Linked DNA regions of Drosophila melanogaster. The protein of the gene in region 1 purifies or fractionates together with the protein of each later gene. This does not show direct contact. Each region holds a gene or a part of one and is shown on either strand. Other genes may lie near its edges.

Region 1 (6,941 bases):
TGAAGCTAACAATTAACCATGGTTAAACTTCTAGATCTGGCCAACTATAGGCCTGTTTACGCTCCAAAGGATTTACTGGAGGTGCTACTCTCGCTAAAAGGACCCGCCAAAACCACTGAAAATACAGAGTAAGTTTTGGTTTAAATCAGTCAGGTAAATAATCATTTTGCTCATTAGTCAAATCCCCCAATGGGAGTTCTCCCACATTGCACTACCTGTGAAAAATCTTTTCGAGCTGCGTGCCCACTACGCGGATCTGCTGCGAAGTGATAGCTATTTGGGAGTGCCGGATCTTACGGTTCAGTGCCAGAGGATTCTGGAGGCCAGGCATGCGCCCATGTGCCAGCAGTTTCTGAAGAAGGGCTGCACACCCGCACCTTATAGGGGAGCTCTCTGGGCTTCGGTGCTGGACAGCAAGCTACATGACTACGTAACTACTGATTTTGGGATCAATAACCTCATTATACATCTCTATACCCCCGAAGGATATTGAGTACTGGCAAAAGCTGCGCAATGCCGTTTGGACTACGGATCACATCGTTGACAAACTGGTCTTCAAGGACATTCAGTTGACGGCCTCCAACGACGACCAGTACTTTGTGTTCGAGGACGTGCTCTACCAGGTGCTGCTCTGCTTTTCTCGGGACACCGATATCGGTGGATGTGTGGAATACGAGACGTTTCCGGTGAAGGGCAAGACCTACGAAGGTCCTCCATCGGGTGTGGTGCCCTTCCACGGCATCTGCATGTTTGCCGCCCCCTTTTGTTATCTGTATGACTCGCCGGTGAGTCTATACTATACATTCCGGGCCTTCTATATCCGGTACTGCCATCGCTTGACCACCATAAACACGCATCCTCAAGGGATTGTCAGTCTGTGCCTGCTCTTCGAGAAGCTGCTGCAGACATACGAACCGCAGTTATGGTCCCATTTCCGAGAGCTTCAGATACAGCCGTGAGTTGGGATTGGGTTTTTCGTTAGACAGCTATTTCACCCATTTCACGACATATCTTTCCTTAGCCTGCGGGTGGTCTTCAAATGGCTTATGCGAGCGTTTTCCGGACATTTGCCTCCCGATCAATTGCTGGTCCTCTGGGATCTGGTACGAAATACACCTCCGTTCTTATTGGCAGTACTTATCCCTTCCTTTTCAGATCCTTGGCTTTGATAGCTTGGAGATCCTTCCTCTATTCGCCATCATCATTCTTAGCTTTCGAAAGGAGAGCATCATGCAGGTGGCCTCGTTGGATAGCATCGAAGCGATTCTGGCAGACTTGTCCTCTATCAAGGTGCTGCCCCTAGTGCAACTAGCCCTAAGTCGAGACTAAAAGTGTGGTTTTAAGTTACAAAATTAAAGTATTAAGAGTGTTTGGAAATATAACATGTATGCAACTGGATAAACTATATTTAATATAAAGTCGTAACATTATTGAATAACTAATTGCGTTCAACAAAATCCAGCCAAACGCCGCCTTTTAAGGCTGGCATAAAGTAGGTATCATCAATTTCATTATCCTTGCGAGTTTTGGGATTAACCTTGATGTCGAAGTTTCGCACGATTTCCACCAGGGCAGCTTTGATTTGGGTAAGTGAAAACCGCATACCTACAAATTATGCATAGATTTTTTTTAGTAACTTTAATTGTTTCAAAAATGATGTTACCCACCGGGGCAAATACGTGGTCCATCGCCAAACCCAAAGAATAGACCCTGATCTCTGTACTTTTTGGCTCCGCCATTGATGTTCAGGAATCGCTCGGGCTTGAACGATTGAGGTTCCTCATAGTATTGGGGATCGTGGTGCAAGGCGTTCACAGGAATGATGACTACATCCCCGGGTCTCAGTTTCACGCTCACTCCGTTTTTGTTCGTCAGTTCACAGGGCTCAGTTACCACCTTGCGGGCAGCCAGAACAGGTGAGAAAATTCTCAAAGTTTCTGCAGATATAGATATTATACGCATACTAAATAACTTCAGATTTCGCCAAAAAACTCACCATGGATGCAGGCTTCGGTGAAGGGCAGCTCACTTATCTGTTCAAAGGTCAGCTCGGCGGTACCGATCTCCTCCCTCAACTTCATCTGCTCCTTGGGATTGCGTGCCAGGAAAAGGAGTGTGTGGGTAAGCACTTGTGCGGTGGTCTCGAATCCGTCCGTTAAAAATGTCATTGTGTGCGAGGTCAGCTCCGCCGCATTCAGTCCCTTTTTCTCCTGCAACTGCAACATGTAGTTGAGGAAGTCATCTCGCTGCTGTGCCGCCGGACTTTCCCGCCGAACTTGGATGCACTTCTGCATGAGGTCATAGAAGAACGCAGCCACGTCCTTGGCGAACAGCGAAACGGAGTAGAATTTCGTGATTGGTGGCCATAGATTGGCGACCACCGTGTAGAAAATGAAGCCAAAAGACTGTTCGAAGACGCGCTTGGTCATTCCCACCATGGGTGTGGGATTATCCGTGAAACTCTGGGCGGAAATGCCCAGGACACAATCGGAAATCACTTCGGTGGTGTAGCACAAGCAGAGATCCTTCGCATTTAGTCCTTGGGCGGGGGCCATCAGGCTCTGTCGCCTTATATATTCCACAAACTTTTTACAAACGCGCAGCGAGACGGGATAGGCAGCTTTGACCTTTTGGGGAGGCAGAGCGTTAATTGATTGGAGCACTTCAATTGATAAGGGTATCAGGGCCCCCAGTGAAAATAAACATTAGCACGAGATAAGTTTTGAATAAACAATTCGAGGGCAACCTAAGCTTACCCGATTTGCCGAAAGTCCGGGTGTAACTTCGGCGCGTCTTTCTTTCCAGGCCTCACCAGTCAATACGAACGGATTATTCGCCAAAATGGGATCCGTTTTGCTGTCGGTCTATTGTGTGAATTAACTTATGAAATGGGCTCCTAAGACCAGTATGTATTTGCAATCTACTCACAAACTTAGCCATCTCATTGTCGTGGAAGCTGCGGAAGTCACTAACATATATCTTGTGCGCATATTCCGGAGTTGTGACCATTAGTTGTGGAATTCTGGTTTGAAACACTCCCACAATGCTGTCGGTGTTCTTGTACTGCCTAATGAGATGATGCAATCAGTAACCAGATAACGTAGCTAACTCTATACACTTACTCATAGATCTCATCGATGTCGTAGACTACGTTCCGTTTCTGGGTGAAAACGCTGGGAAAACTGCCCACAAAGGGCCATGACTTGGCCGTTGGAATGCCCCTCTTCTTCCAGTAGCTAAAGTTCCATGTTAGAAAGACATAGATCAAGGCCAGGATGGCCGCAATTACAAAAAGAGCCGTGGAAATCGGACACATGGCACAACCTCTCGCCAACGCGGATGAAAACCAACTGGAACTCAATTGAGCTGCCGCAGTCATTTAAATTGAACTTGCGCGCCAGTCAAGTGGATGGATTCACCCAGTAAACAAATTGATCAAATTGCATTCACCACCGCTGTTAATATTTGTCGTATATAAAATTGCACCATTTGAAGATAATGCCTGATTTCGTTATCAAGATCAAGGGGCTACAATATACCTAGTCCTAGGTCATGCGCCACAAAGTAGTAGTACAAAAACTGTTAAGAAAAGCCATTTTATGATATGACGATGAAACAGAACTTTTCAGCTTGTCATTTCACTAAGTGCTCAAACTTACAATTATTGTACATGGCATATGTATCTAAAGCACGCAGATAAAGATGTGTTTTAAGGGAACGGTTTTAGTAGCATAGAGAAATGGAATAAACGGTTGTGAAATTAAACGACATATACATAAACCATAAACAATTAAAGGAAAAATAGCAATGTATCGACTTTTAAATAAATAAGTAGGATTGCAAAGTGCGATGCTTGATGAAAACAAAAAACAATGTGTCGTATTCAGAAGGTCCATCTATCAGTTGCATACTTTTCTAGGAATACAACATACCCATTTTCATTTAACGAGTAATGGGTATAGATACTCTGGACAAACAATGTGTGTAGCACCTAAGTAGTTAATCAAATTTCTGATTTCATTTTTAATTGGCGCATTATCTTATCAACACTTACAACAACACTTCAGCCATTTTACTATCGCTCTTCAAAATACGTCAAGCAGATGTCATTCAGTCGATTATCCGATCGCGTCTTGACGTTTACATTGATTTCGAAATTTCTTACGATCTCCACCAAAACTGCCCTTGAGCTTGAGCCTTGAGATGCCTATGATGGTGAATCGATTTCTTTATATTCTTTATACACCCCTTGATCTATAATTCTATAATTCTTATTACTTTTTATTATAAAATCTCAATTAAATCTTATATCTTGCAAGTATTTAAAATCGGATGGCCAACCTACAACCGACATGTTGCGCACTAGCAATCGAACTTGTTGCGCATGCAACATCACTGTCGAACCATGTTCGATCGAGCCTTGTTGTGGATCATCCGCAACATTTGCCTTTCTTGAGTAATAAATCTCTACTGCATTTTATTTTTTTTTTATTATCATGCATTAATCAAGGTTAATTTTAATTTTTGTTATTTCGAGCAAACAACTTCTCTTTATCCAGTTTTTTAAGCTTAAAGCTTACTATGATTATTGCTATTATTTAAAGGTCCTTAAAGTCCAGGTAAATACCACCCTTCAAGGTGGCCATGAAGAAAGTATCATCTATCTGATTGTCCGAGCGGGTTTTAGGATTAACCTTGATTTCAAAGTTCCTCAAGATTTCCACCAGAGCTGCTTTAAGTTGAGTCAGCGCAAATCGCATTCCTAAATGTAGAGATCGACTTATTGTAGTATGTGATTTTCAGATAAATTTTTATAACACCAACCTGGACAGTGACGAGGTCCATCGCCAAAAGCTAGGTAAACACCCCTGTCTCTGTAACTTTTCATACCACCTCCATTGCTCTCAAGGAAACGTTCCGGCTTGAATGTCAAAGGATCCTCATAATACTGCGGATCGTGGTGCAGAGCTTTTACCGGTATAGTAACCACATCTCCGGGTTTCAAGTGCACAGTGCGTCCGTTCTTGTTCGCAAACTCAAAGGGTTCGGTGACCAGCTTACGTGCTGCAACTTGCGGTGAAAACAAACGCAAAGTTTCTAAAATTATAAAATTTTATAATGTAGTTAAAGAAACTGAATATCAAGAGATCAAGATAGAATTTCCCACCATATATGCAGGCGTCCAGATGCGGAAGCTCGGACATTTGATCAAAGGTCAGATCCGCACTGCCAATTTCCTTGCGGACCTTATCTTGCTCCTCCGGATTACGTCCCAGCATCAGCATAATATGCGCTAGAACTAGAGCCGTAGTCTCGAATCCGTCTAGAATGAAGGTCATCGTATTTATCAGGATGTTATCCGTGTGCAGGCCCTTCTTCTCCTGCAACTGCAGCATATAGTTGAGGAAATCGTCGCGCTGTTGCTCTGGTTTTTCCAGTCTCAAAGTAATGCATCGCCGGATGATGTCCAGGAAGAACACTTCCGTTTCCTTGTTGAAGAACGGTACGCTGTAGAACTTGCGCACCTTTTGCCACAGGTTGGTAACAACGCTGTAGAAGATGAACTCAAAGGAGGTATTGAACACACGCTTTATCATTTTCAACAGCGGCGTGGGAGTGTCCGTGAAACTCTGGGCCGATACTCCCAGTCCGCAGTCGGAAACTACTTCGGTGGTGTAGCAAAGAGACAGATCCATGGCGTCCAATCCCTCGGAGGTGGCCATCTGCTGCTGTCGCCTGATATATTCCACGAACTTTTTGCATACGCTCTGCGATACTGGATAAACGGCCTTGACCTTACGGAATTCAAAGATAGAATTTTGATTGGATAGATGGTTAATGTGGTTCCTTACTCGATTGGGGGACAGTGCTGGCATGATCTCCGACCTTCTTTCCTTCCACTCGTCGCCAGTTAACACGAACGGATTGTTGCCCAATATCATGTCCGTCTTTTTGTTCACCTATGAACATTGTAATTCAGTAATGGATTATCCATTATTTACTAAACTTACGAGTACTTACAAAATTACGCCATTCATTGTTATGAAAGCTACGGAAATCGGTTGCATAGATCTTGTGTATATATTCCGGACACATGACCAGCAATTGGGGCACTCGGGTGGTAAAAACGCCCACCATATTGTCCGTGTCTTTATACTTTCTGCAAAAACAAAAAGTTCACATCAAAAAGTAACTTATATTAGCTCTAGAGAAGACTGTTCTGATTTTTACACCCATTAAGTATAAACTGCGCTTTGACTCCACTATTATACAACATAACTATAGCTTGCCCTTCTCACTCATATTGTATACATACTCATAGATATCATCAATATCGTAGGCAATATTTCGCTTTCTTGTGAAAATGCTGGGAAAACTTCCAACAAATGGCCATGTGGGAGCCGTCTTGATGCCACGTTTTCTCCAATAGTTGAAGTTCCATGTCAGAAACACGTAGACCAGAACCAACAGGGTCAGCACGAGGACAAGAAATGTAGTTACTGGGCACATGTTGGAAGCTTATGGGCTACAGATTAACGCAGGGGCCTATATTTATGCCAAAAAAATAGACACGCGCTGGAAGCAATCTAATCGTATTTTAATAAATTTCCTCTTTTAAAATTTGTTTGTTTTTTTTTAGTCTGATTGCATTAATCTCGTAGCGCTCGATCAAAAGTCAATTAAACAAGATAGGTAATAAAATATCGATAAGCATGAAACCTGTAAAACCAAAACGTATATAGTTATGTCAATAGAGCTGCAGACATAAATTCAAAGGTATAAAAAAAACAATGTGTTTTATTTTTTATTTGTTTTTTTTTTTTTTAATAATCATAATGCATATAAAGGTACAGTTGTTCACAAGAAAGGAAATCTTAAAATGCTACATAAATTATATTAACTCGATAACGGCTAATTATTTCATAACCAGATAGAAGCAG
Region 2 (7,371 bases), on another chromosome or scaffold:
CCGCCGAGCAAAAACTATCGCAATACGTGGCATCTTGTCGCACGACCAGAGATGCAGTGATCTCAAGAAGAGGTTCTCGTATGTGATTCTGCCACAGGGATTCCGGAACGTACAACATCGAACAGGAGGAGCACTTCTGGCCGGCGTACTCAAAGGCAGCTCTTATCGTGCAGGCCACCGCCGTTTCCGGTTCCGCCGAGGAGTGTACGAAGTGGAAATTCTTGCCGCCTCCCTCGCCCACCAAACGGGGATAGTTCTGATAGAAATTTATATTCTGGGCCACCAGTTGCCAGAGCACCTTGAGCACCGTTGAGGTACCAGTGAAGTTAATCCCCGCCAATTTCGGATGTTGCGTCACTACGGATGCAAACGTTGTCTCCTCGGCGGGCACAAAGTTCACCACACCATCGGGCACTCCAGCCTCCCGCAGGGCCTTGAAAACGAAATAGTTGGACAGGATGGCCGAGTCAGAGGGCTTCCAGATCACCGAGTTGCCCATTAAGGCAGGCGTATAGGCCAGATTGGCGGCGATACCCGTAAAGTTAAACGGACTGATGGCAGCCACAAATCCTGCAAATAAAAAGTTATAGAAAGATAGAAAGCCATATAAATTATATGGAGACCCACCCGAAAGTCCTCTCAACCGCATGGAGTTCCTGCAATTGTTTTGGATGTCTCTAATGGGTTCGTAGTTGGCCAGCTCACGCAGGAAGACGGGATTAATGCGCATAAAGTCCACCAGCTCGGCTACATCCATCTCCGCCTGGCGCAGCGTTTTTCCCTGGCCCAACATCGTGGCCGCAATGATGTTGTAGCGGTATCTTCCGGCAATTAGCATCGCTGCCCGCTCCCAAATATCAATTCGATCACTAAGCCTGACCTTGTCCCACTTCACCTGCGCCTCCACACTCTTATCGATGGCCATTTGGATGAGCACGCGGTGGGCATGACCGTAATGGGCAATGGGCTGTTGGATGTCGTAGGGCAGAACCTGTTGGAAGTCCTCCTTGGCCTGGAACTCCTGGCCGTTAATAACGATGGGAACGTGCTCTACCCTATTGAGAACGCCCAGCAGGGCGGTTTCCAGTTCCGTGCGTTCCTTTGAGCCCTCGTCATACTGAAGCAGCTTCTCGTTGGCCACCATCTCATCCAGCGTAAAGTGCTCGGATAGCTCGGGTCTCTTGCTGGTACTTCTAACAGACACGAGGCTTAAATAAGATTGAATGTTAGAAAATATGTGTTCGAAAAATAATTTCAAATTACGCGCAATTATCGACTTATCGCTACTGCTATCGATGTAATAACAGTATGTCGATTATCGATTGCAGAACAGCTGTTGATTCGATAAGAGAGCAAAAGTAATAACAAAACCCATGAAAGCCAATTGTTATTATTTTGTGATGCAATAGTTTCAATATTTGGATACAAAATGCAGCTTACCCGCCTTTTACTGAAGCCTCGAGCCTCGGAAGTATTGACCGCATATTTGAAACAATGCCATGAGCCACCTTGGACATCATATTTCGTGAAGGTAAGACTCCCCTTTTTCCGCCCCAATATTTTCACCAGATCTAATGAGAAATATGCTCCAAGTCTAGTTTCACGATGTGGCCAACGATCAGAGGGGAATGTCTCACTTTAATTGGACCCTGGAAAACGGAACCAACTATCACATTCTTCGCACCGCCTGTTATCCCTATATGAAGTACCACTGTAGCAAGAGGGAGGTGCAGGATCTTTGGCTGGAGGACAAGTTCTTTCGCTTCCTTAAGGTGATTAATTTGGGTAAGTCCAGTAAACGGATTATGCTACATAGGTCCGTGGTAACTCGAAAAAGGTGTATGCCCTGTAATGAATCCCGAAATGCATATGGGAAAGTCCTCATTCGAGTTTAATCAAACTCCCAAAAGACCGCATTTATATCCTTAAATTCTACACAGGCTTACCAATGCTCTTCTATGGACTGGCTGCCATCCGTCTAATTAGTCACACCGAGATCGTTCATGTCAGCGAGACGGTAAAAGTTCCCATATACTTTCTATATCCTGAGGACAAGGGCTCAAGCTTTTGATTTGATTTCCTGAACTCCAAAATGTGAAATGTGAAGAAAAGCCTTCTTATCTAAATATATGCATATTCAGTTAATGTAATTAGAAGAGAACACTGGAAATATCTCATCCATATATGTATGTATTTGTCTTTTTGAGATAACTACACCTTGCATTACTTAGTTTGTCTACTTGACTTAGTTTTATTTTAAAGCTATTAATTGAAACCAATTATTTAAAATTATCCAAAATCACATCTGACTATTTCTTAGCAATGGCCAGACACTTAAACAACAACCCAGAACGACACACACTTTCAACAAAGTCTGGAAGGCATCTTATGTTTTGCAATCGGTCGGATGATTTTCACAAGTCTCATCATAGTTATCTAGAAGCAGGGCCTTTACAGAGGCCTCAAACTGGGTCAGTGAGCACGGTGCATCGCAATTGGGAATGGTCAGCTCCTTGGGGAATTTGTCTTCGCTGTTGTAGTAGTAAACCAACTGCAACCAAACAACCCAAACTGGTAAGAATCCCATAGTTAATAGTAATACGCTACCAATACCAACCTTCACTTCAAAGTCTCCATCACTGAAAGACTTGCTGTGATGAAGCTCGAAGGCCAATGCCGATGCATATTCCGGAAGCTTGGTAGTCTGGTCCAGTATGCCCAGGGAATTCATCACGTTAACCAAAGTCACATCATGACCGGAGTACAGGAATATTTTGCGATCGGGATTGAGATTCCTCTTGCGCTTATTCTGCATTTTGTTGAGTATATCCGTAAGGAAAGCGCCACCCTTAATCCGCTTCATTAGATTTGTTTCGGTGAATAGCATATAGCTACGTTCAGCTAGTGGCCTAATCTCCTCGGGGTATATATTCTCAGTCCAATCGGGCAGCACCAGATTAGCTTCCTCTTCGGTTTTGAGTGTGCCATAGAGTAGCTCCACGTCCAGTACATTTGAAATGTTCTAAAGGATAATATGATAATATCAGAAGTGAAAAAGTGAAATATATCGTATGGCAATAAAGGAATTAACAACCAATATGGGTGCAACTCTCTCCCACCTTGCCTGTGTTTTTGGTTAGCAATTTGTACAGCTCCATGTTGTCCTCGTTCAGTTTCTGGAGTTCAGGAGGCGGAGATTTGTAAAGCTTCTGCAGAATGTGGTCATATTTCAAGCACGGTTTCTTTTGGGCCAACAGCTAATAGAGTTAGATCATAGTACTATGATGATGACTTGCATTTGACTAATGGAAATATACAATTGCACTCACGATATCTTCATTGCGAGATAGCGTATTGACGGCCACCGGCTGCCAGGGAATGGGTAGCACATTCTTGTTCTCCAGCGGCGGCATCATGCCGGCCAAGACGCTCTGGGCGCTCATCTAAAAGATAACACACGGCCAACTGATTAGGGCACCACCATCTCGGACAGATAGCAAATAGAGTTATAGAGGATTTCTTATCGAAACAATTGACGCACCACACAGCGTTCCGCGGCCGAGCTGAGCACATTCACCTGCTGCTGGGTGTAAAGGCTGTTCGGAGGCAGCAGACGGTAGTAGCGCATGCGCAGATTCCTTCCCAGGTTGTACGCCTGCAGGCTGCCTTTCTGTCAAAGGGGGTTTAAGAAATTTGTAGAATATAAATATCTTTATTAAAATATATTAAATAGTAATGTATGTTTTACGTGTCTAGCATTAAAGTTTTAGATATCACCAACTTGCATCTATAATTCATTCTTCATTGATCATTTTGGATCATAAAATTAAAACCAAATTGGAGTTTTAAATGCAATGAAACACACTGTTTTACATTATTGACATTATTTATTTACATGATAACCGTTTAATAAATACTCTTTAAAGTGTAAAAATTCGTACGATAAAATGTGTTAATTGGAAAATAAATAAACATAAACGAGAGCGTTATAGTCTAGTTTCTCAGCTAGTGCAAGCAATAATATATCAAATAGTACGAAAATCAAACAATTTTTTTTTAAATTTCCAAAAGAATGGGCGTGTCAGTTTTGATCAGCCCTATTGAAAATTGATGTGTTATCACTTATACGTTTTGAGTTAAGAGAAAGAATTTAAAGTTTAGGTAGGATCCATATCCTAATCTATACTATTGTATATCGAATACTAACCGGCGTGAGGGCTCCCATCCCGCCCTGCCAGTCGTGGGCAGCGTGCGGATCCAACGGATAGAAGCCACTCGGATTCTTGGCACCATGTCGGAACAGCTGGTGGGCATTGGATTGGATTGATAAACACAGTGCTCAGATCTCGTTGTTTACAACTTTATGCCAGAAGTGGCGGCAGCTTACTATGGATATCATGCGTAGATTCCGCAAACCCTGCTCGTCGTTGCTGTCGCCGAACACAAAGTATGCCATCATGACGAAACAGAGGGCACTTCCCAGGGCGATCACCGATATTTTGGTGCCGCGTCGCGATTTGCAGTCCATTTTTAGGGAGGGGGTGCGGTGGCGTCTCTATGCTCCTGCTGCAGTTGATCGAGAAAATATATTTCAGATTTGCAGCCTAAAAATAGTTTTTTGTTTATTTTATAGCGAGTGTTTTCGATTTCGCTGCCCCCGTCGACGAAACAAATAATAAATAAATACAAGTCACGTCCGATGGCAACAAAAGCCGTATAACAACTGAGCGACTGTCGATGGAAGGTTGCCTCACAGCCAGAAAGAGAGGGGGCGCTAAGAAGCGAGAGAGAAGGCTATATAAAACAGAAAGAGCCAGCTAGAGACAGTCGGAGAGCCGGGGAGACAAGTTTTCCATGTGATTTTGGCATTGCGCGAGAGTAAAGTCTTTGAACATGTGCGAATAATTAAATTAGTCGCTCATTGGCAGTACAAATTGGGTCTCGACTAGGTGCTACTGTGTGCAATATGGTGGTCTATCAATTTGCACTCATGTGAAAAACATTGTTTTTCAAGTTATTTGTCTTGCCTTTATATCTTACCTTGCGACATACAACTATCGCTAATCATATACACATGTAAGTTAACCAAATAAATATTTATAAAATATATATATTTTGATCACTACAAATTCCAACGAAAAATCAAAGAGGGTAACGTTTTTTTTCTATAGTCAAACGTAGATGCTGAACTGAAATATGAGATATCTATTTTCTGGATTTTGGTGCCTGTTCCTCGGCATCCTCCTCAGATGGTTCGCTGGTGGGTTCCTCAACCAGGTAACCCTGCTCGGTGGTATATTTGCGCTTCTGCGATACTTTTCTTCGCCTCCTGAAAACCGATTCTAATTTAACGTATTCCCCCGATCTTGACTGCTCGCTAATCTCCACCGATGAATAACTCTTTGACGAACGCTGCGAATCGCCAGATTCCTCAGCTGCGCCGGACTCTGAATTTGAACGGTTTAAGCAGAGAACAATCTCGGGAATTTCATAGCCGTATCCCTCGTCGTCATCGGTGTGCTCATTCTCCATTTGAACATATTCTAGATTTGGCTCATGGAAACATGAGTTGGATTCAATGGTTGGATATATAAGACCAGTTTCCAGATTTTGCCTAGTTGGCAGAGCCAAGTGCGTTTGCATATCCGATTGATAGTGGATAACGCCCATTGGTCCAGCTACATAGGCGGCATTGCTATCTGGAATTGACCAAGTTGATGAAGCACTGGTCATTATGGAGTCAATACTATAGGAACGGATTGCACTCGCATCACATTGGATCAAAGGATACTCATAAATCCCGGGCATTATGTATTCGTAGTATCCCATAACGGTACGGCGTCGCCTCGATCCAGACATTTTGGCCAGTTTGCTCCTGAACAAATGGACGTCTAGTTAACCCTGATCCTGGATAGTTAATTTGCTCGATATTATGAATAATTCTAGTAGGAGAAGTCCCCAATTGGCTCCAGTTGATTAACAATGGCCACTCTCATTCGCATAAAATAGATGCGAACATTTAATTCCCACATCAAGTGAAATTCCAGGCAAAGTTCGATGATCATCAGTTTTGTGGATATCGAGTACCAGTTCTCTAGGGGATTAGGCAGTCTGCTGTAGCGTGTATGGGATTGCTGTAATCAGATGCGATGATGGCGATGTCGGCGGTGTCCAAATGAGGACTTTGTCTGCCGGAAACTGAAGACGAAACAAATTTGGAATTTCATTCGACGAAAATTTTGAACTTTGCTTAGCTTGCCTTAGTTACATGCGAACACTACCTTCACAGACAACCAAGTGGCATAAAAGTATAGGTTTTCTAGATTTTTAAAAATGTCCTTATTGATGTAGGCATTACAGTTGACTCGATTAGCTCTAAAGTTCGCATAAAAAATTATATATTTATTTCAGATTGTAAGTCTACTTTTCATAACTCTATAGACAGTCTTTATCCATAATCTTAATAAGCGTAGTGCAGCTTCAAAAATATTCGGTTTTAATGCTTGTTTCCCCCGAGGACACACCTTTCCGTGTCCAGATCCTCGTCCGAATCTATTCGCTGGCAATCGCCGTGTCCCACAGAGCAACGTTTGTACAACAGATAACTGAACCACACGGTCAATGGAAGAAGAGCCAATCCCAGTGGCATAAGGAAGAGCAGCAGGAACTCCCGTCGATCGCTAGTCGGAACTCCCTCATCTTCATTACCGTAGTCCGACCAGTACTCATTCTCCTGATCCGTATCCTCCACATCGGCCAGCACATCCAGGAAAGCCTCGCGGATCTTATGGCCTCGATAGCTGATGGCCACGCAGGCGTAGTGTCCGGCATCTCGTAATCTCACTCCGTCCAGAATCAATTTGCTGAGATATATCTGGGGTGCCATCATCTTTTCTGGATCGGTGGACAGTAGTTCATATGTTCGACCATTGTACCGGACAATATGGTTGCTAAAATTTGAGGTTGTGGGTGCCGAGGAGGCTTCGCCACCTGACTGAGTTCCCACGTACGTCTGCCGGCGAAACCACTTGATTGTGGGATGCTCCTCGCTGTGAACACGGCACTGGAACACCACCCTACTGCCCACCAATGTGGTCTTGTTGTTGGGATACGAGTCCACAAACTCAGGGGCTGCCAATGAGGTGTCTACAAATAGAATTTATACATAATTTTCGATATGGTATATGGTATATATGGTGATGAAAATTGTACATACTTTTAACATCCAGCTGATAGGTGCGAACCAGTTGAACATCCACAGCCTGGGCTTTATCCCAAATGTGCGGATTAATGCTGCATTTGTACAGTCCCGAATACCGCTCCGTCACATTCCGGAGCCAGAGTTCCGGACGACAAAGACTCGGCTCACAT

What was found. The genes of interacting proteins can lie anywhere in the genome.
Region 2: the proteins of Cyp28d1 (region 1) and CG6656 purify together in Drosophila melanogaster (affinity purification with mass spectrometry, with the first as the bait; one large-scale study listed by BioGRID). This does not show direct contact.

What each region holds. Positions count from the first base shown.
Region 1 is NT_033779.5:5,206,877-5,213,817, reverse strand, and holds Cyp28d1 (cytochrome P450 28d1), read right to left. Parts: upstream 3,359-6,941; 5' UTR 3,317-3,358; coding exon 3,123-3,316; intron 3,068-3,122; coding exon 2,929-3,067; intron 2,865-2,928; coding exon 2,757-2,864; intron 2,628-2,756; coding exon 1,997-2,627; intron 1,938-1,996; coding exon 1,668-1,937; intron 1,606-1,667; coding exon 1,439-1,605; 3' UTR 1,373-1,438; downstream 1-1,372. Other genes in the region: CG7742 (uncharacterized protein), read left to right, coding at 35-128, 178-430, 486-955, 1,022-1,103, 1,156-1,329; Cyp28d2 (cytochrome P450 28d2), read right to left, coding at 4,599-4,762, 4,825-5,097, 5,168-5,795, 5,853-5,960, 6,022-6,160, 6,317-6,510. UniProt on the Drosophila melanogaster protein: May be involved in the metabolism of insect hormones and in the breakdown of synthetic insecticides.
Region 2 is NT_033777.3:21,872,647-21,880,017, reverse strand, and holds CG6656 (uncharacterized protein), read right to left. Parts: upstream 4,726-7,371; 5' UTR 4,529-4,725; coding exon 4,388-4,528; intron 4,304-4,387; coding exon 4,208-4,303; intron 3,671-4,207; coding exon 3,542-3,670; intron 3,444-3,541; coding exon 3,330-3,443; intron 3,258-3,329; coding exon 3,120-3,257; intron 3,023-3,119; coding exon 2,618-3,022; intron 2,552-2,617; coding exon 2,387-2,551; 3' UTR 2,230-2,386; downstream 1-2,229. Other genes in the region: P5CDh2 (delta-1-Pyrroline-5-carboxylate dehydrogenase 2), read right to left, coding at 1-570, 628-1,208, 1,441-1,520; CG34148 (uncharacterized protein), read left to right, coding at 1,430-1,531, 1,599-1,785, 1,941-2,071; CG31178 (uncharacterized protein), read right to left, coding at 5,206-5,859; CG31431 (uncharacterized protein), read right to left, coding at 6,497-7,146, 7,217-7,371.